3 linked regions of the Mytilus edulis genome follow. The protein of the gene in region 2 purifies or fractionates together with the protein of the main gene of each other region. This does not show direct contact. Links are inferred from orthologs where the notes say so. Each region holds a gene or a part of one and is shown on either strand. Other genes may lie near its edges.

What was found.
Region 1: the proteins of intraflagellar transport protein 81 homolog (region 2) and intraflagellar transport protein 88 homolog fractionate together in Homo sapiens (co-fractionation; 3 studies listed by BioGRID and IntAct, with this or other methods). This does not show direct contact. The link is inferred for Mytilus edulis from reciprocal best matches to the Homo sapiens genes IFT81 and IFT88.
Region 3: the proteins of intraflagellar transport protein 81 homolog (region 2) and intraflagellar transport protein 74 homolog purify together in Homo sapiens (affinity purification with mass spectrometry; 3 studies listed by BioGRID and IntAct, counting the BioPlex papers as one, with this or other methods). This does not show direct contact. The link is inferred for Mytilus edulis from reciprocal best matches to the Homo sapiens genes IFT81 and IFT74.

What each region holds. Positions count from the first base shown.
Region 1 is NC_092353.1:50,393,765-50,400,856, reverse strand, and holds the start of intraflagellar transport protein 88 homolog, read left to right. Parts: upstream 1-4,024; 5' UTR 4,025-4,059; intron 4,060-4,310; exon of another isoform or gene 4,311-4,461; coding exon of another isoform or gene 4,462-4,555; intron 4,556-5,883; coding exon of another isoform or gene 5,884-6,007; intron 6,008-6,658; coding exon of another isoform or gene 6,659-6,766; intron 6,767-7,092. Other genes in the region: transaldolase-like, read left to right, coding at 4,462-4,555, 5,884-6,007, 6,659-6,766. UniProt on the Homo sapiens protein: Positively regulates primary cilium biogenesis. Also involved in autophagy since it is required for trafficking of ATG16L and the expansion of the autophagic compartment.
Region 2 is NC_092346.1:86,979,850-86,987,191, forward strand, and holds the start of intraflagellar transport protein 81 homolog, read right to left. Parts: upstream 3,023-7,342; 5' UTR 2,953-3,022; exon of another isoform or gene 2,884-2,952; intron 1-2,883. Other genes in the region: signal peptidase complex subunit 2-like, read left to right, coding at 3,222-3,254. UniProt on the Homo sapiens protein: Component of the intraflagellar transport (IFT) complex B: together with IFT74, forms a tubulin-binding module that specifically mediates transport of tubulin within the cilium. Binds tubulin via its CH (calponin-homology)-like region.
Region 3 is NC_092347.1:2,125,710-2,133,699, reverse strand, and holds the start of intraflagellar transport protein 74 homolog, read left to right. Parts: upstream 1-4,889; 5' UTR 4,890-4,995; coding exon 4,996-5,041; intron 5,042-7,990. UniProt on the Homo sapiens protein: Component of the intraflagellar transport (IFT) complex B: together with IFT81, forms a tubulin-binding module that specifically mediates transport of tubulin within the cilium. Binds beta-tubulin via its basic region. Required for ciliogenesis.

The sequences.
Region 1 (7,092 bases), on a different chromosome or scaffold from region 2:
TTTTTTTATAAGTATGTATGTTTTTAAACTTATAACATGCATATCACCTATGAAAATCAGAGATTTTGTGTCATGATTAAAAAAAAAATATCCATTCTTACCGTTTCTGTAAATTTCTCATAGAACAAGAAAAGTTTGAATTAAATTTTTTTGTTGAGAAAAAAAATCGTTTCCGAAATTAATAGCATCATGATGAATTATCTATGATGCGCTTATTGAATATATCTCAATACAAACATTATGAAATATTACTATCTGTACAATATCTTATTTTGCGCAATTGCAGTAAGGTACTGCAGTATATATCATTATGATGATATTTTTACGCAAAATAGAATTTAGTGATGCTGGCATTAGTTTAAAGGCAGGAGAAGTTTACCGATGTTTTTGTATATGTTATTGTTTATAATACATGTAATAATGTTTGTATTCTATACGCCCTCCTGGGGTCCTAATTGGTAAATAAAATTATTCTATTCTATTCTATACCCAAGCGCCTTTGACGTGTACATGGTGTATTTCCAATAAGTTTGTATGCTATACGCCCTCCTGGGGTCCTAATTGGTAAATAAAATTATTCTATTCTATTCTATACCCAAGCGCCTTTGACGTGTATTTCCAATAAATTTTTAAATTTCGTTTATCTATGAAGACGATACAATACAAGGTAAATCGAATGAACCCCCAAAAGGAACGAGACACGATTCGAGGCAATGTGCGCGAAAACGTATGATAACATCTCCATGCACACAAAAATAAATTGTGTCTACAAGAAACACATACAGATACGCTCCACTCCAAAAGATCTGAAAGCCATAATATGAAACGTTGGTGATTCAGAAAAAGGAAACAGAAAATTTTGAAGCTAACATAATTACAGGTCAAAGTTTCCTCTTAGATTTCATCAGTCTTAACTTAGGCGCAATTATATTACATAATGACCGTCATAAGTTGGGTACATTCAGTCATGATTTAACTATATAGCAACCACAAATCTTTTGGTTAACTGACATGCCGCCATCAATGTCAGCTGAGTTGCAAAAAAAAATTAAGTTTAAATAAAATGATCACACTTAAAATTAAAAAAATAGCGAGTAGCCTACCAATACCACATTCGAGCAAACCATGACCTTGGGTTGTTTAAACTTCTAGTATGTCATTTAATCTAATTTTTAATCAAAACCCATCTTCTCAATCTTATATTCATATGTTATCCTCTTATAGTTGCTGTGATTCCCTCGGTTTTAGTTTGTAACCCGGATTTTTTTTCTCTCAATCCATTTATGACTTTTGAACAGCGGTATATTAGGGACGACATCAAAAGATCAATGTAAGATAAAAAAAAAAAAAAAAACTTAATTCAAATAGTTTGGGGGTGGGGGTTGAACTGCTGCAAGCTTTGGTTATCCGACATTGATTTTTACATATATCCATATGGGTCAATCAAATTTTCCCAAATTAAGTCAATAGGGGGGTAGGGGGGTCAGTGAAAAAAACTATTTGAATTAAGTTTTTTATCCTTCATTGAACTTTTGATGTCGTCCATTACTGTTGCCTTTATTCAAAATTATCCATAATGATTATATAGTTATTCTTGAACCATTTGGGTTTTGGTTATTCTTTATCTTTTTTTTTACCATAATGCTTAAATTTGATACATCTATATCAGTATAAGTCCAGGATTATAATTATTGTCAAATGTGTGTTCAATATATTATTCAAATGAAAATGTGACATTTGCTCGCTTCAATCTGTTTGTAAAATCAGTCAAGTGAGAGATAATGAAGCATTCAGTTCAAATGAGATAGCAATTTAAAGCGGATGAAACATGTAGACAACCTGAGTTTATCTTTCTTTTAAAGAGAAAAACGATTAGATCCATGACAAAAGTTGTTCCTCTTGGTATACATGTAGTTGTAAGATGTTTGCCTGAGTTGATCCATCTGTATACGAATGGCAAAGTTATCTTTAACAGCATACTAGTCTTGTGTCTTGACAGTAGTTATAAAGGCGACAGTAATTTATCAATGTTCAAATATCGTATATCAATTAGTAATACACAATTAATAAGCTGAAAATCACACAAGTGCAAGTCATGATGATTCACTTCCTACTGACGTATCAAAAACTGTGTGTGCCGGAAAAATGTTTAAAGTCACATGATACTTCACTGAATTAAAACAAAGTTGAATATGTTTTATATACATTGATAACTTAGTTTTTATACTATAAAACAAGTGAACTTGGACTTCTTTTAAAGAAAATCCTAGTTTAAATCAAAATTTTCAATTATGTACTGATATAGAATTATTGTCTTTCCGTACTCGAATTCCGCCGATCTTTTTTACGTATGCAGTGACCCTAACAACAATATCTCTCGTTAAAAGCTCGCCATTTGCAAAGCGCAAGTGTACATATGAGTGGGAAAGAAAGTAAACAAACGTGCACATGGTGCAATAGGGAGGTTAATAGTAAATGATTCTTAAATAAAAAAATTAAATACTCCAAATCATTTAACAACTGTGATGAAAAGGTGTATATAATTAACAAATGGGATGCAAACTCGAAAGTTATAATCAGTTTACCGTCAACAAATTCAATCACTGAATATAATATGGGTGTCTAAAATACGTTATAGATTCGTAATAAGTCTTAATAATGAGCATTTGAGGACTTCATTCTGTATATATGTAGGACTCTAAAGTGCGATGGTCTACGCTAAAGTGCGATGGTGTCTCATGCTAAAGTGCAATAGTTGTTTGTTGCTAAAGTACGTGTGTTCATGCTAAAGTACGATGTTATATAACGATAAAGTGCAACGAATCAATTGGGGAAGGTTCGAAGGATTAAAACGTTGAAGTACATGGATGTTAAAAAAATAGTATTTTTGCAAAATCTAGTATGTTATTAAACATGTTAAAGGTATAACATATGTACATGTGAAAAGCTTTATAATTTATAATATACCGGTAGGCTTCAGTGATTGTTTTCAAATTTAGAAGACCGACCAAATAATAATTGCTAAAAAGGCATGCAACCCTGTGTAAACTTTGTTCAGAGCACTACGGTTAAATATTACACACTCCGCTACTTTTGCATAGACTATTTCTGTACTAAAAATATGTAGTACTGGAAATCTACTTTTAATATTCAGTACTATTTTGTTACTCTAAAATTATTGTAATATTTAGGTACATGTATTTTACAGTACTTTATTTGTACTTGAAATTAAGGTACTACAGATTTTTGGTTACTACCGTTACATTTTCAGCATTTTGAAAGTTTTTCTATTTCAAATCTCTTAAAGTTATGATTTTCAAACATGAAATATTGTGTTATTTCTGTACCAAAATATTTGGTACAAATCAAGTACTGTAAAATACAAGTACCTAAATATTACAACAGTTTTAAAGTAAAGAAATAGTACTAGATATTAAAAGTAAATTTCCAGTACTGCATTTTTAAGTACAGAAATAGTACCTATGCAAAAGTAGCTGTGTACATTGCATGTTATAGAAAATGGGAGTTTTGTGGCAAATAAAGACATTTTTTTTATATATCTGCGAACAAAACACGAACTTCATTACTATTCATCTATTTGACCATGAGGTGCTATGGTTTATTGTCTACAAAATTCATAAACAACCTAAAACAATAAAAAAAAAAAACTCGTGCTTAAATCACTAATCTAGAAGGTGTACTTGAATAAGTCCATTCTTTTTACTAGCTTTATAGATATAGCAGTGGTGTGAGTGCCAATGAGACAACTCTCCATCCAAATAACAATTTATAATAGTAAACCATTATAGGCGATTGTACGGCCCCCAACACGGAGCCTTGGCTCACACCGAACAACAAGCTATGAAGGGCTCCAAAATTACTAGTGTAAAACCATTCAAACGGGAAAACCAACGGTCTAATCATTATCTATATATATATATATATAAAAAAAAAAAAAAAAAAAATCTTTCGTTTATCTATTAAGCACAAAATATGTCACTCTAACTATAGGAGTACACGGAGAAAGGCTGCAGGTATATTTTTTTTTTTTTATAAAATGTGCATACGTCGTCACAAGCTAGGGTAACGAGTCTGGCGTAAATACAAAATCTAATCCTGGTATCTATGATGAGTTTTATTTAGTGATTTTTAAAATATTGTATTCTGCAGCTGACATGCTACTTAAAGAGCAACGCTTTTGTTTAAATATCTTATTTTCCTCCGTCATATTGCTGAAGTTGGAGAAGCTTTTTAGAAAGCTAACACTCGACGCTGTTAAACATGTCGTCTCCGAGTTTGTCCTAGTATTTATATTCAGGAAAGCGCTTCCGTCATTATGTCTGGTTCCTTGTCAGTGTTGCATGCCTAGCTCATCCAACATCAATAGCCTAACAGGTAAACGTTTGTCCCAAATTTTGCATCCTGATTTAGCGGAAATATTATTCACAGTAATATCCTGAGATGTCTGAGCCACAAACTAAAAAATCCGCCATGACAACACTGGACCAGCTAAAGGAATTAACTGTCATAGTTGCAGACACTGGTGATTTTGAAGGTAAATATTTTTTTTACATGACAAAAATTATGAGATCTTGTCCATGTTGTTGTCGCATGTCATTTATAAACATGTACAGTATACACAATATGATCAAGTTAATATGACACAGGTGTCCCAGTTACATATGGAAAAAAAGCAAATTCTGTAAAATATTAAGTAATTTACAACTATTGGAATTTTTTTTCAAATTGATTTAAAAATTTTCGTGATTCGTCAAAATATCCTTATCATGATTTGTCAAAGGTCTTAGTTCTAATTATCATTACCGTTTTTTTTTGGAAAAAAATTAATGTGATAAATTAACATATTTGTCAAAATCATTTGATTTTTTTTAGGCACCTTTTTTTATGCATATTTTATCGTTATGCTCCAAAAATTACCGTTAATGTCGTTTGGCAGGAATTTTTACTGTTATTCGTCATGAAGGTACCCCCATTACAACCCTCTTTTATACGTCTGTTTACAGGACGTATTATGGTATGTCTGTCCAGCATCAACATGTCGGAAAATAACTCAAAAACGGTTTAACGAATTGTCATGAAACTTTGGCATGTTTGGTGAATTATATATCTATTAACGTGTGATCCCATTTAATTTTCATAACTTTTACATTTGACATTGTAAGTTTTTAAGTTTTGGAGGGTTTGTTCGTTAAGAATAGGAGGATTTTCTAGTTTTTGAACAATACATGACATGTAACTCAAAATGGTTCAGCAATATGCAGGAAACTTTGGTGTATTGTTTATATCTATTGACATAAGCTCCCTTTCAATTTTTTTATCAATTTTATTATTTACGTTTCAGCGATTTTATTCATAAAAAAGGGGGGGGGGAGTGTTCATACAATGTGTTGAGCAGTTATCATGAAACTTTGGTTACTGGTTTATATCTATTTAGATAGCATTCCTTTAGTTTTCCTGAATATCTGATACACTGTATGACAGTGATAATTTTTTGTACTTTATTCTTTGAAAAAGCTATGGCCGCATCATGAGCTCATGGCACAGCTGTTTATTTATTTAATATCAGCAATGTCAACATTAATAGCGTTTTTTTTGTCACTGATCATGCTGATGAAGGTAAAGGTAAAGAACTTCTATAATTATATCAATTTTATATGGCTTCACTTGAGTGTCAAACAAACCGCTAATCAACAATGTTTACCTTTGGCAAACTGCTGTTATGTATTACATGTACTTTAAAAAGCTTTGTGAAATTGTGTATCTGAAAACACTTCAAAGTTCATGTTTAAAAATGTATACAGAGACAGAAGTTATATGTCATGTTTTAATTATTTATCAGAAGTTATTTAATTACTTTCATAGCTATGAAGGAGTATAAGCCTACTGATGCTACAACCAACCCTTCTCTGATATCAGCAGCAGCAAATATGCCAGCATACCAACATCTTATTGAAGAGGCTGTTACTTTTGCAAAAAAAAGTGGAGGGTAAAATTAAAATTAATACTTTGTTAAAATACAGCAATGTAAAGTGAGTCTTTTAATCAATGTAAAGCTAGAATGTAATTGATGAATATGTGATGAAGACTCATTTCAAAAGAAAAAATATGTACAATAATAAATGTCTTATATATTTATATGTTGATGAAATGCACAATTTGGTGTATCCAATTATCGATTATTGTTCTTTTTTTACATTACATTAAATTATAAAAAGTAATATCACAAAAATACTGAATTCTGAGGAAAATTCAAAACAAAGCCCCTAATCAAATGTCAAAGACAAAAGCTCAAACACATCACACGAATGGATAACAACTGTCATATTTCTGACTTGGTACAGGCACTTTTTTTATGTAGAAAATAGTGGATTGAACCAGGTTTATAGCTACATTTATAGCCTAACCTCTCACTTTATGACAGTCATATAAAAGTCCTTATGAATAGTATGAATAGTGAATTTTGAAATCATGACAAAAAAGAAAATAAACTGAAAAAGAAATATAAAAAAAAAATCATCATGCTGTGTAACTGTACTTTAAACATGTCTTTATTATAAGAGTAAAAACAGAAAGAAGACAAGGTATGTTTTTCTCTTTTAACAAACATAAAATATCTTTTTAAATTTTATTTCAATAGGACAATGGAACAACAAATAGAAGCTGCTATGGATAAGGTATATGTATTGTTTGGTTTAGAGATCCTGAAAATTGTACCCGGCAGAGTTTCAACAGAGGTTGATGCAAGGTATATTTTTTTTTTGCAGAAATTCAAAACATGTGTTCCAGTTAATTTTTGTCTTTGTCACTTTAATATGTACGGAGGACGCAAAGTGCCAATTTGATATCTGTACTTAAAATATAAATTGCAAAAGTCTATATTGCAGGCGGTTAGATATAGAATATGGAATAACGATTAATGAACCAGCCACTAACCTTGCAAACATTTTAAATATGTTATACTGTAAAAGCAGAAATTTTCGTGGAAAGAATATATCCACAAAATTAAAAAACCCACAAAAATTTAACCTAGGCCACAATTAAAAATATTTTGGTTTGTCCAAACCCTACCCA
Region 2 (7,342 bases):
GTTTCTTTTCAACTTTTATGTCTATGTACATTTACATGTTGATTACTTATAAGGTGTTACATTGCATGTTGTTACATTTGTGAAGCCATTTTTAGGTGTGGAAATTTGTTAACAAAAAGTTGATAATTTTCACAAATTAACCTGTAAAACATGCAGTAATTTCAGCAAAAATCAGCTATGCGGAATCAAACTTAAACTTGATCTGTAACCCATTAGTGTAAACTAACATAATAAAAAATCATCTCAAAAATGTGAAGGAATGTAGAATAAAAGCTTGAAAAGTCTGTATAACGACAATCACTTTTCCATTGTGGCATCAGATATAATCTGATACATGTATTGTGATGTCAAAATATTATGGTATTATTTTAGATGTCCATGGCCAGTAATGGTGGTAAAAAAGACAATACACCTTATTGCTATTTGTCTGCCCATAGGCATTATTGGCCATGGACATCACAAAAAATGCTGATTTTTTTTTAAGTCATAATCATAATAGAAAATATTTGACGCCCCAAAAGAAAAGTTATTGTTGTATGACGTCAAAAATTCAAGCGAACAGATTTTTGAGTAAAGCGGGACAGATTTTCAAATAGCAATAAGATGGATTCCTTTTTCTTTGGTATTAGGTCTGTTCGTGCCCAATACACTTTCGCACCCAAGGTTCATTTATTCGTTCGCTCCCAATCTTAAAGCAAATTCTTGTTGAATAATTAGAAAATCATAATTGTTGTTTTAAATTACTTTCATGTAAAATACTGCATAAAGCTTGGTCTGAGTAAATTTTTTTTAATTTTAAATGAAAAACACAAAAGATAATTGTTTTTAACAGTTTGGCTCCTTTGATCTGAAACAATGAAACAAAAAAATTATAGCAATACACAAATCAAAACATGATTAAAATGTATTCAACAAACATAAAAAAAAACGCAGAATCTCACTTTATTTTGAAATAATTAAAAAATGTTATACATGTAGCAATACACTTACCAAAACATGATTAAGATTTATTCAACACAACAACAAAAAATTGTTGACAGAATCTCACTTTATTTAGAAACTGATTAATTTTTTTTTACAATACACTATCCAAAACTTGATTAAGATTTATTCAACACAAAAAAAACGTTGGTTTACTTTACTTTGAGACAATGACAACAAATTAACTAATAGGAATACACTTGCCAAAACTTGATAACAAAGTCACTAAACACAAAACCAATAAAAAATTTGGGCAGGAATGTGTAGGGTGCGAAAGTGAATGGGCCCAAACAGACCCAGATTCTTTGGCTTTTCTCTTAAGCCTCAGTCACACCTTAACAGATAACTTTTTTTCAAATCGTTCATGTCTGTTCTTATTCGTTAGACGTCCGTCCATATCAGTTGCATTTCCGTTTAGCGTACGTTTTATCCGTCAACTCCGTTCTGTCTGGTGGAAAATTTTGAGTATGTTCACAACTTTGAATGGACGTACAACGGATACTGAACGGATCCGAAACGGATAAATGCCAATTGAAAATGCTGCGTCAGAAATGCCAAATAGATTTCTTAAGGTTCATGAATTCTTATTATTCATAATAGATCTTAGAGGGCAATAAGAGTAAAAGCACGTCTTCACATTCAAGCAGCTCTTATTCAGGCCAAACACTTTTTTGAAGAAAAAACCAAAACCAGTTACACAGTTGTTGAAGGCCATACGGTGACCTATAGTTGTTAAAGTCTGTGTCATTTTGGTCTCTTGTGGATAGTTGTCTCATTGGCAATCATACCACATCTTCTTTTTTATATACACAGATCAATTTTGAATATTTATATGGGGACGAAGTCCCCAATAACAGTAGAAAATTCAATAAAAAAAAAATCGGGAAAATTTCCCGAATTTTTCATTGTACTAATGAACTCAAAATCGTTCAATTTTTTTTATGTCATGTTTTGAAATCCCGGACCTGCGCAGAAATGTACAATGTACTTCCTTTTTCCGGTCTCGTTTGTATGAAACTTTGAGTAAAATATATATTTATCAGTCTAGTATAAAATAGGAAGGAATGCGCAATACCAATTTCATTTTTAATAATTCCTTGATATGAAAAAACGTTACCTGATGATAGCGTTTCTTTGTTTACATTGCATATGACGTCATAACTTAAATAACGTCACAACTAAAATCCCTAACAAAAGAACCAAAATCGGAAACGTTACGGTATTTCCGTTTCTTTTTCTTAACAAATATATAAATGTAAGTTACAAAAAAATAATTCATACAGACTTCGTCCCCATTTACAGGTAATGCCTGCCTCATATTATGATTTACATGTTTTATTATTGTCGCTTTTAATTTTTCTGTATATCTTGTTCATCCGTTTTATCCGGTACGCTTCCCTAAGGTGTCATTTTTATGTGGTACTCGTCCGTTGGATGTACATTTGACATCCGTTCTGTCCGGTACATTTCCGTTTCTCGTACATTGAATATCTGTGTGTGTCCATAATGCATTCGATACGTCCGTTTTATTTTGTCAGTACATCAACAGACTCCCAACGGATAATAATTTTTTCAACTGAAAACTTTCATTTTCATCTGTTTGGTTCCGTTCCTGCTATCCCATAAGGTGTGACCGAGGCTTAACAGAAGCTGATCAATGTATATATGATCTGATCATCAACACAGATTTTGATTCAATAATCTGAAATAATTGAAATTCTTTGGAAAATAGTGCAACCGTTTGGGGAATAGTTATAAAACCAAAGTTTATTGTATCAATAAATCCACTCATGAATCAACAAGAGCATTATTGCCTGTAAATTGGTATATTCAGAAGACAGAACGCTTGTTTCATATAAGAATACCTAAAACAAATTTCAAACTTAGCAGAATTATCTTTACTTTATGCCTTTACGTTACGTCTATCACATTTTCTTTTCCCATAAAGATGAAACTTTCAAAAAACCATACCTATCTTCTAATCTGTTCTCCAAAATAAATTTCTCTATGGAATTTACCACAACTTCCGGTTACCTTTTTAATAATCTCTAACTATTTTTTATAAATTACATATTACTTTGTCTCCAAATATTCTTAGTTAATTAACATGAGAGTCTAATTATTATTATAAATATGACCACCAAAATAGAGTTGATAGTATATTATTTAATATTAAGTATACACTATTTGGTTTTCGATTAGTCTCCTTCTATACGTGTACTTCCTGTTTCATTTTTGAGATGGCTTCAAAAAAGACCGGCTTGATGGACAAAGTAATTTTTCTTTAGCAATGATGAGAAATTTTGTAATTTAAACAACACACAAAACATTTTCAAAATCTGTTTTTCAAGTTGCATGCCTGTTTGAACAATGGTATTGCGTTGAAATTCGGGAAATCACTTTCCATATGCGGAAAATATTGCCTTTATAGCAAAATACCACAGGCACTTGTTTCTATCCATACGAAGGTCGACTATACATATACATCTATTTATATGGATAGTCGACCTTCGTATGGATAGAAACAAGTGCCTGTGCAAAATACACCTTATCGCTATTTGTCCGCCATTGCTAGAAATCACACAGGTTCCCGTAAAATTTTGACGTCATAAAACAAAATATCTGACGCCACAATGGAAAAGTGATTGTTGTTGACGTCAAAGGTTCAAGCGGCCTGGTCAGCCGGGATTAGCGATAAGGTGTATTAAAGCTAAATATATATAAATGATGTGGTGGTATCAGTGTTCTCCCCAGGCCGATATGACGGTGCGGTGCCGCAGCGCCTTCATAATATTTTTGTTAATCCAGCAGCGTCTTAATTGGCCGCTTTTACTACTTGATCCCGCAGCGTGTTAATTTTCACATTTTCATTATAAATGTTGGTTAAAATTGTCAAGTTGCTGATCACCGCTGGAAGAAGAAGAGAGGTCGGTCAGTGTTACGCAATATCTGATAATATAGTTTTACCTGAGCCACACTTATCTCAGCCGTATTGGACTATGTTAACTTATCATGTAATAGCGTAAATGATCATCAAGAAGATAGATATTTTCAGAAGAAAATTAAAAAAATTAAAATCTTCAGTGCAGAAATTGAAGAAATAGATCGCAAATACATTGTATTTAAGCATCGTGTGTGTGTTTACTTGACCATTTATATAACGAATTTTTTGCATTGGTCGAGAAGAAGAATCTATTGAAACACGACCAATGAACGTGTTCAATACACGTTATAGATTTGAATACACATTGCTAAAGATATTTACGATGAAAATTATGAACGAGAGTATTTGTTGTTGAAAAAATTAAAATAAACTTTAATTAAAGATAACGAGAAGTAATTTATTTTAATTGAAAGTGAAAAATGTTGCTTGCAAGGTAAATTCGTTTCAAACTGTCATATTTTTAGAAATAAAATGATCATTGAACATCGATCGTGAGTCCGTGCGTCTGGAACATATTATGTGACAATCAACAAATAAACAAAATAACACTATCTTGAAACAATATCCCTAGAAGTAGCAGAGAGTACAGAGATGAATATTTATATTTTGACTTCTTTAATTGACTGAATATAAATAACTTTTGTGTTTAAAATCAATTTATTTCATAAATATAGTATATTATTCATTTCTTGTATAAATTCATTTATTCTCTGCATTATTAAACACACAACACAAAGCAATATTGCATGTTATGATTTATGACTGATTGATTCAGATCACAAAAGTTCACTACAAAAAAGGAGTTACGCGCCCTTGAATTTTGCGCCTTAAAAAAATCCTGGGGAGAACACTGGTATGATTGCTGTCTATGATCAAGTTGTTCAACAGCCAATAGAGCTAGTCTACTGTAGTGATGAGAATCTTTCAAATCTCATTTAAAACTGATCAGATAAACAAATAACAATTTCCAGTCAGGGCTGATCTAGGGATCGATGAAAGGTTGTTTTTTTTGTCCTTTTGACAATATTAAACGATGAAAAAAATGGTGTTATTGGAACATGTAGCTGTGGAACTGGAATTCTGGTAAAATCATCACATTGTTTCATCATCATCTACATGTAGTCAAATCGGTCTGCAAATTATCCAAAAAATGTAACAAAAAGTTGAGATACAGTTTCACAGCCCTTCCAAGGGTACAGTTCAATTCAATTTTCATAAGTTTCTTATTATAAAGTGGGATGAACATTTCTGTCCCCACTGAATCAGCCCAAATAAGGTTCTAGCTGATCAGTTCCTGAGGGTAATTTTAACAGGTGGAGTTTGCATGATTGATTTTACTTTTCAGCTTACAATGTATGTTACATGAATCAGGAGGTTGCACTTCTGTTAAAAGTTACACCGTTCTGTTTTTGATGCATTAACTATGTGCTGTAACCTTTTTTCCTATATATAATGAATGATTTTTTGCCATTGCGAAGAATACATCATGCTCCTTATAATTTGAGTCTTCTTCTTCTTCTGGTATACATGTACAGCTGTTATAGCTTTATTTTATAATATGAGGCAGGCATAACCTGTGAATGGGGACGAAGTCTGTATTTTTATTTTTATTTAAATTCAAACATGTTAATAAAAGAAACGGAAACACCGTACGTTCCGAGTTTGGTTCTGTTGTAAGGGATTTAGCTGTAACATTCTTTAAGTTATGACATCATATTAAATGTAAACAAAAGAAACGCTTTCAACAGGTAACATTTTTTTCATATCAAACAATTATTAATAATGAATTTGTATTGAGTTCCAATCTTATGTTTTACTAGACTGATAAATATATATTTTATTCCAAGTCTTATTCAAACAAGACCGGAAAGGAAAGTAGATTTTTTTGCGCAAATGCAGGGAAAACCGGAACAGGAAGTAGATCTGAAAAAGAAAGTTAACGATTTGAGTTCATAAGTAGAATGAAAAATTCTGGAAATTTTCCCCGATTTTTTTAAATTTTTTTTTTATTGACTTTTCTACCATAATTGTGGACTTCGTCCCCATATAATTAACGGTTGGACCTTAAGGCCACATCAAAAAAATATGTGGTTCAGTATTTTTTAATTGAAAATACAGGGATTACAGGTGAACAAATTTTGTTTAAATTTTATTTCAATGAATCTTGAGTGATAGAAAATATATTTTAGTATATGACTGTGCTGACATTTAATAGTTACTACATTTTTAGACCTGGAACAAATTAAGTGCTTACCATATTTGTATGGATATGTGCAACTGCTGTATGTTGAAACAGTATATTAACCAAGAGTATATTAGCATTTTATGATAGGGTTCAATGCTGTCTCAGCCAGTGTAAACCCCTCATCTCATTTTATACCAAGAAAAAAAACTCCATCCTAATAAAGATATATATATGGTTTGATAATATGGCTTTTAAGGAATGTTATTTATTCATTTGAACTTTTGTAATTGTAGAACGAATCAGAACAGGTTAGTTTTTAGTTTCAGAGATCAATCTGTAGAGCACCATATACATGTACATTTGTAGATGAAAATGCAAATGAATTTTGTTAAAGAAAGTGGACTGTACTATCATTACTATTTGATACTTAGAAATTAGTTAACTATTTGAAATTTGTATTCTCCATTAGTTCTTTTCCAATATAGGAAATTTACACAAAATTCTATCAAATCTCAAAGGTTTTCATGCATGCTGGATTATCTCATAATAAATATTGTTTATGTCTTGAAAAATTAAGTTTTTAATACACAAGTGTCAACACTTTACTTTGGACAAAGGATTGATCTCTCATTTTTTTTTGCATGATGGTTTAGTGGACAGTTCTTAATAGTCTACCATTGTTTATCATGTGCATGGACCATGTTAAGCTCAATTCAGATTTGACTATAGGTTATTATGTACAGGGTAATAAATATTTTGATAGATTTAAAAGCCTTTCACTATACTTCATAGAATTATATAAAAAAAACTATGTAAGGTTAAATCATAAATGTTAATTCATGAATTGAAAATAATGACATACTATTATTGTACATTGTATCAAGGATTTGTATACTGAGCACTATACAAATCCTTGATTGTATGTACATGTAGATGTGCATATCAACATGAAATTGTGGATCAATTTGTGTTCTATGCCTTATGCCCATTTGAACTTAGAATTTTGGCCTGACTTATTATACTCAGTCTACTTAGACAATTTGTCATTTCTCTGAACAAATATTCTTATTTTACTGCATTAATTAGAGTTTTAAAACAATCCAATTTAAATTCTTTTTTCTAAACTTTACAGAAGCTCTTGCTGCATTAATGTCATTTTAAAACATGATGATATACGAGTGAAAACTCTCGGAATTAAATTAGTCTTGAAAATTGTACAATGTATATATAGG
Region 3 (7,990 bases), on a different chromosome or scaffold from region 2:
TCGCATACTGTGACTTAATTAGCAGGGTAGCTTAAAAATCTAGAATTTTTTTAAAGAATTTTTTTTTAATAGATGATTTATCATTTAGGAGATAACTGTATTGTATTTTAAGCTCCGACGGCATCAATTGGGGATTTGATGGTCGCAAATTAAGTTTACTGGCGACGCGTAAGCGGAGACAGTAAATGGGTATTTGCGACCATCAAATCCCAAATTGATGTCGTTGGACCTTAAAATACAATATTGTTATCTCCATTCTAATGAAACTGACAGAAAACAACGTTGATGCCATGTAAGAAAGTGACGTTATCCAATCAAAATGAAAGTTACAAACGTTGTTGCATTAGCAATGATTAGAATAATCCATTTAATTTAAGATAATCATTAATCGGTATAAATTACAAAGTAATTTGGTATTATTGTTATGTGTTGATGTAAAATAAAATACAAGTAGCTACATGAAGCTTTATAGGAGGACCAATCACTTTACGATTGTGGCGTCAGATATTTTGTATTATGATGTCAAAATTTTACGGGAACTTGTGTGATGTCCAGTAATGGTGGACATATACAAATGTAGCTAAAAGGCTATTCGCTTATTGCTATTCGTGGCTGACCAGAGAATATGTATCGCTTGAACTATTGACGTCATACAACAATTGCTTTTCCATTGTGGCGTCAAATATTTTGTATTATGACGTCAAAATTTTACAGGGACCTGTGTGATGTGCAGCAATGGTGGACAAATAGCGATAAGGTGTATTGACATTAATGTACAGTGTCAGTGATTTTAATAAAAATTCTACATTCTATGTGTGTTGCTGTTGACAGTCACACTGGATTGTCTCTCTTGTAAATATTCAAGTCTTGTATGTACAATTTTCACTCTGGTAAACAACTCACTTGTAACTTAAAAATTCTGCCCAACTGATTCAATGTCAATGAATGATTGCCATTTGGTCAACCTTTTTGCACTAACGTCGATCTGCTGAATTATCATTGACACACCAAGAGGACTCTCATTAGTAAAAAGAAACAAATTATCGCGGTCTGTTTCCGACCTCAAAGAATGTGACATAAACTGCAGTTATCTGTAATTGAATATTGAACTATATATGACATATATAGAGTGGAGGTGTCAAAACAATCACCTCTTTCATAAACGTTACGTTTGCAAAAGCATACTCTACTTATATGAGTGAAGACTTGCCGGGTTAAATCTGAGACAAGGGCAACACTGGCTTTCATTTAAAATGCAATGTGAATGGTGGTTACCTGGAGGTAGATAAAAACACATAACTTTACGTGATTTCCAAAACACTATCCTCCATGTTGTTTAAAAATGGTGGAGGTAAATCACTCACTTTAAAATTTTCTTCTTCCGCACTATTTTTTTATAACCATTTCATAGACCAAAGTTTGGGAAATGACGGGCAATTTATGAAACTCAAACGCTTTCATAACTTTATAATTTTCTGAACATAGTTTGTTTGTTTTTGCGCGCAAGAAAACCATTTAATATTTTGAGAACGCGTATTGATATGCGTTGCTGAGTAACCCCACATAAATAAAGGGACAACTTGATTGTGCATGTATATGAAATTCGCTAAAGAGCCGGCGTCAATCATAAAAAAAGTAGCTTTTTGTTCTATGATCTTTCATTACAGTCTTATTCAAAGTAAAGATGACCAAATAAACAACATGTATGGTAAAATATCATACAGCATTGTACTGCATTATTTTTTTTATGAAAATATTAAATACGAAAAACAAAAACAGGAAAAGAGGTCCCTGCCTCAAGCACCTGTGGTATTGACTTTAAGTAAAACTGTATATTTAATTTTATTTTGAAGCATATACGAATCTTAAGAGACTAAGGCAAAAATAAATCCGACTTTGTTTGATTGCTCACCCAATCATAACAGATTTTGAGACACGGAACAACTGTCATACGTACATTACAAGTGTGAGGTTTAGCGACCTATAAAACAAGATTAAACTGTCATAGAAGTGGGAGGTTTAACTTCCTTTACAGAAAAAAAAATGTAAAGCATTATTTTCTTCAGAACATGTCTGTACCAAACCAGGACTATTATTGTTATTTTTTACTCGTTCTGGTTTTTTTTATAACGTTTGACTCGTAATGGTCATGAGTTTTGTGGACTTTTTGATTAATTTTATATGGGACAGGAACATATATATATATATATTATACGAAACAAAACAGAACAATAAAAAAAGACATACATAGAAACATTGTTCTAGATGATAAGATACACACAGATAAGCTATCTGTTGCTGGAATGTCTTGTTATAAAAAAAAACTACTAGACAAGACATCTACAATCAGATACCATAACACCTGACAATTCTAATTGATAACATATGCTTTACCTTTACTTAATGTTTGTTTCATTCGAATTCCCGGGGCAATTATTTCCGGTATCAATATCAATACTTTTAAAATGAAGCAAAAAAAAAACGTATTTAGGCAAATTGATAAAAAATCTAACGATATCACTTGAATTGCAATAGAAGATATTTCTTATAGATTCCCAAATCCTCACTGAGCAAATTTGATTCGTCGTCAGTTCCATTTAACTGTAAAGTAGATAATTATCTGTTGAAAAGGTGTTCTTCTATATCTGCCAACTCTCTATGAGTAATTTGCTACTATAAATTCTCACATTTACAATTTGTTATGGTCTAGCAGTGAATTTTAATGCAAAATTACGATACGTTCTTCAGGAAATACCAAATTTGTTATACAAAATAAAGCTTTGTTTCTAGCCGTTGCTGTTGCTGTAATGTTGAATATATTGAAAATATTTTATTGATATTTGAATAAATGTAACATCATACGCAATTATGTGAATTGCTACATACAGTTTCATCTACTTGGAAGATTTTTTTCTAAGTTCGTGTAATTTAACCAATGAGTGATATCAGGAAATAAACTCCATTTTATATGGAACTTGATTAAATATTAATATAAGAAAGTCTCCTCAATTAAGATTACAGATTTTTATAGAACATAAATGCAATGTAGATACTGAGTAATTAGGGTCTCAGATTTGAGCCCTGTGTTGTACTTGAAGTCTTTACATGGCGTCGGTACTAATGTTCAGAACGCCGCTTACTTTAAGATAGTTTTAGCTATCTATAAAACCTGGTTTAATCCACAATTTTCTACTTAAGGAAATGGCTGTACCAAGTCAGGAATATGACAGTTCTTATACATTCGTTTTGATTTGTTTGAGCTTTTGCGGCTATTTGATAAGGGACTTTCTGTTTTGAATTTTCCTCGGAGTTCAGTATTTTTGTGATTTTACTTTTTAAGCTACTGTTTCTGTTTTTAAAAAGAATTTATGGAGATCAGTTGATTTGAAGATATAATATTATATATACAATTTATTTAATCCCCAGTCACATCAAACCAAGATGTCAAAATTCATGAAAACAAAGACTAGTTTGAGTCGACAAATCCTTGGAGTCGAATTCAGAAATTTCAATGCGTTCAGGATGGTCGACCTTTTTTTCACACAGTCTATTAGGGACGACATCAAAAGATCGATATAGGATAAAAAAACTAAAACTTAAATCAAATATTTTGGGGGTGGGGGGCCAACATTTCTGCAAGTTTTGTTAATCCAAAATCGATTTTACATATATCCATATAGGGAAATCGATTTTTCCCAAATTAAGTTAAAAAAATGGGGGGAAGGGGGGGGGGGGGGGTCAGCGAAAAAACTATGTGAATTAAGGTTTTTTTTTATCCTACATTGAACTTTTGATGTCGTCCCTTACATCGGTGACCAAGCACACTAAAACAGTCTAGCCCAGGCCGCTGATACCTTACTAAATTAAATAAATTAACCATTTTCCACATATTTATTTTATCTAATTTTAATTTTTGTCCTTTGCCATGGCATTTTTGCAACAAAAATAACAACACTAAATTAGAAAAAAAAATCAGGAAAGGGCTTTACGATTTATATATGAAGACTATACTAGTTCATATGATGAGCTACTTTTACGAGCAAAGGTTTCATCACTGAAAATAAGACGTATGTGTAACATGATTATTGAATGTATCAAACTTTTATATAGATTCATTGTCACCACCATATTTACATGATTTAGTTGTATTGAAAGATTGTAAATATTATTTTAGATATTTTGATATTGTAGATATACCTAGGGTCCGAACATCAAGAACTCTTTTAAATACACAGCTACTGTTTTATGGAATGATCTACCTGATGATAGTAAAAAAAATGCTAATTTTAGTCAGTCAGTCAAAAATATTTTAAAGTCATGGAATGGAAATGACTGTAAGTGCACTGTTTTTGCAGATTTTAGTTAATATATTATGCTAAAAAGTTATTTACCATTTAGATCATACCCCTTTTTTTATAATATTTTAAGCTATCATGCATTATACCAGCTTTTATGCCTAGTTTACACTTATATATGCTTTTAGCTTTAATATCTAGCTTATACTTATATTCTGCTTTTTATCATCATGCTTTTTAGTGCTTCATTTTGTGCTGTGTAATTTATTGCATGTGTATGATGTGTTGTATTGTTATAAATGTCTTTGTATGTCGGTTAATGCTTATTAGAGCTTAATTTGTCTCTGTTTGTATACCTTGCCGACTCTAAATAAAACTTATTTATTTATTATTTATTTATTTATTTATTTATTCCGAACTTCTGTTTAGTAAATTGCATTTCATAATCAATATCAATTTTAATTGAAGTTATAGTTTATTTAATGAGCTATCAAAATCAGTTTCCATTATCAAGTCATGTTGATCTGTTTAAGAGAAATAACTTGAACATTGTAAAGTTTCGCTTTTATTTTTCGACTTCCTCATTTTAGGTCCTCCACTTTGCCGGATATGCTGAAAGTCCAAATCAAGTGACAACATTCCTACAACCTGCTTCCTGTCAACAGTAAACTATAACCATAAAGTTTATTATTAAAGAGAAATGGCTGGAAGATTACCCAGTGCCGGTGGCAGTAGACCTAGAACAGGTGCTTAAATAACCAACCAAACACATGCGACAACCATGCTTCTTTTTCTCACTCAACAATTTCTTTTATTTCGGGATCTTTACTCTTTCAAAAATGGGGGGATGGTATGAAGGTTTTCGTACATGTATTATCATTATTGTTATGTTGTGGATCTAATGTAGTTAAAAATCACACTAACTACTTTTAATTTAACAGTCAATCGTTAAAACATACCTATTAGCACAATAGAGTAGAATTTATAAGTTATATCCATGTCTGCCATCATAATGGACTTTTCGCCACATATTACAGGTAAAAATATAATTTCCCCGTCACTATAATCCGCTTCTTCAGAATCATCTTGTCGGTGAAAGATCGGAGTAAGACTTGATTGTTCAAATAGTAATTTAATAATGGCTACAAAATATACAATTGGTAGCGACGTTACGTAACAAGTAAATGTCCCGAAGGTTTGTGCGTGACGTTCCCGGAATAATCACAGATATTACATTCCTCCTTAACTTTGAATTAGAAAATGACTTTATAAATGTAAATTAAAATGTGTAAAATAAAGTTTGTTTACATTGATTTAATTATCACAGTCTCTGTATTGTTCACTAATGTTTTTGTAATAACTAAAAAATAGATGTTCACTTTCTCAATTTGTATAAATTATAATAGTCTCTTAAATGTTCACTAAATTGTATCGGTCTCCTGGTTCTTCCGCTTTATGTTTCAGTCCTGGTTTCCTGACTGTTGTCTCTGTTTTCCAAAGTTCTCTTTGTCCGCCCCCTCCCGCGCCTGTCTTGGGGGGGGGGAGGGGCCATAATTTTGAATGTCCACTGCCCCCTCCCGCGCATGTCTTGCGGGGGCCCATTTTCTTCATCTTCTTGTTTCTGTTTTCAGCATACCCTTTGATTTTCTCCTTGCATTGTCTGTCTCTTTCATATAAGTTTGAGTGATATATCTTCTATGGATCTCCTGTTTAGCTGTTTTAGTGTTTTTCTTTTTTAACTTATTTGCTCTGTTTTGTTGATGGGTTTCCTAAATAAGTTAACTTCTTTATTTGCTATTTGGCGTCCTGGTGTGACTTGGTGGTGTTTAAATCCCTTATCAATAGCAAGTTTCTCAGAGTTGAAAGGCGGTCCACTGTCTGGTATTCTTAACTGGTTTGTCTTTACAAAAGAACCATCAGTTCTAATCTGTATCATCCCTAGCTCAATCAGAGTGGATTTGCTTAGCAAGGGTGGAGAATTGATTTTTTCCTTTTACAACAATAAATTTTGTCTCTGTGCCACATGTTTTGTTTCTTATGATAGTTTTAAATTCTCCCTTGATTGGTAATGAATTTTGCAGTGTGCTCAACTTGATTTTACTCTTTTCTAATACTGGATTGCCGTATGTTTTGCTCTGAAATTTTACAAATTGATTTTCATCCATTACATTTACATCAGCTCCACTATCAGGTTCCAACTTCACATCTACGTCGTCTATTCTTATTGTCACTGTTTTGTCTTTTGATGCATACAACAATCACTTTTCCATTGTGGTATTAGATATTTTGTTTTATGACGTCAAAATTTATCGGGAACCTATTTGATATCCAGTAATGGCGGACAAATAGCAATAACGTGTATGCTTCTATGCTGATATTTAGCCAGTATTTGAAATCATCTCTGGAACAACAAGACCACCTGTTTTAATATGATCTCCACTGAATAGGTTGACATGCTCTACAATGATTCTAACTACTTTTTTTCGGTGGCAATATGTACTGTAAGAAACCAACTTATTTTCGAGAACAATTTATTTTCATGACTTTGGCAAGTGAAAAAATGAGGCGAATACAAAAATAGAGCGAATAAAAATCATTGTAAATATGTAAAACTTGGATATTTCCTTATTAAACTACACCAAAAAAATTAGAAAATTGCCAAATTTATAGATAACCACAAAGTGGACTAGAGAGGTTAAATATGAAATAAAGTATCCATGAAAATAAGTTGATTTACAGTATTGGCAAATGATTGGGGCTCTTTGAGAAAGTCTAGGATACAATTTTGGTTTCTCAATAATCAACATTTTATGAAGCATATACATTTGGTACAGTCCTTGCTTAAGGAGGCTCGAGGGTATAAAAATTTTAGAAAAAATTAAACATTTGTTTTTCACTACAAATTTTATTTATTACCTTTTGTAGTTGTTACTTTATCATATGGTACAAAAATCATTCAAAACAATCAATTCGTGTTGGCCCCAGATGACATTTAAAATGTGTACATCATTGAAATAGTTCCAAATTATCTCCCTTTGGTGGAAAAATGCCCTTTTTTGGCTTTAAAATTGAAATATCTTTTTTAACTCATCGGTGACATATATTTTTTAATATAATTTCCATATAAGCTGTACTTAAACTAAATTATTGTAAAATTTGAGCGATTTCTGTAATAAATTTCTTTTTTTATTTCGATATTACCTATATTTCTCCTATTACTTCAACCACCTTTACAAAAATGTATGCTTCTTTCGAAGGCAGATTGTGAGCGCAAATGAACGGTGACCCCACTTTTTTATTTTAATTTTCTATTAACTATAAGATAAAGTTCATTTATAGAAAAATATAGAGAAATCCTATATAAATGATTTAGACCCGCGAACCCCCTTAAGTCATATATTGGCAAAACATGTATCCCAATTACAAACATGTAAAACATTGGCAATCATAGTACATGTGTCCCTCCTAGCATACTGTTTCAAATCTTTAAATAAAAATGTTTTGTCTCAATGAATGTGATTTTGGTTAGCATCACACTATCAGTTGGCAGTGCTAGCATTTCACTTGTTTGGTTCTGTTTGGATGGAAAATATGGCAGCAGAGGCATCAGGGGTTAAATTTTTTTGTAAAAGCTAACTAGCCCAGGACTTATTGGCAGCAGGATTTTACTAGCCCTGTCGGAAGAACTGCTAGTC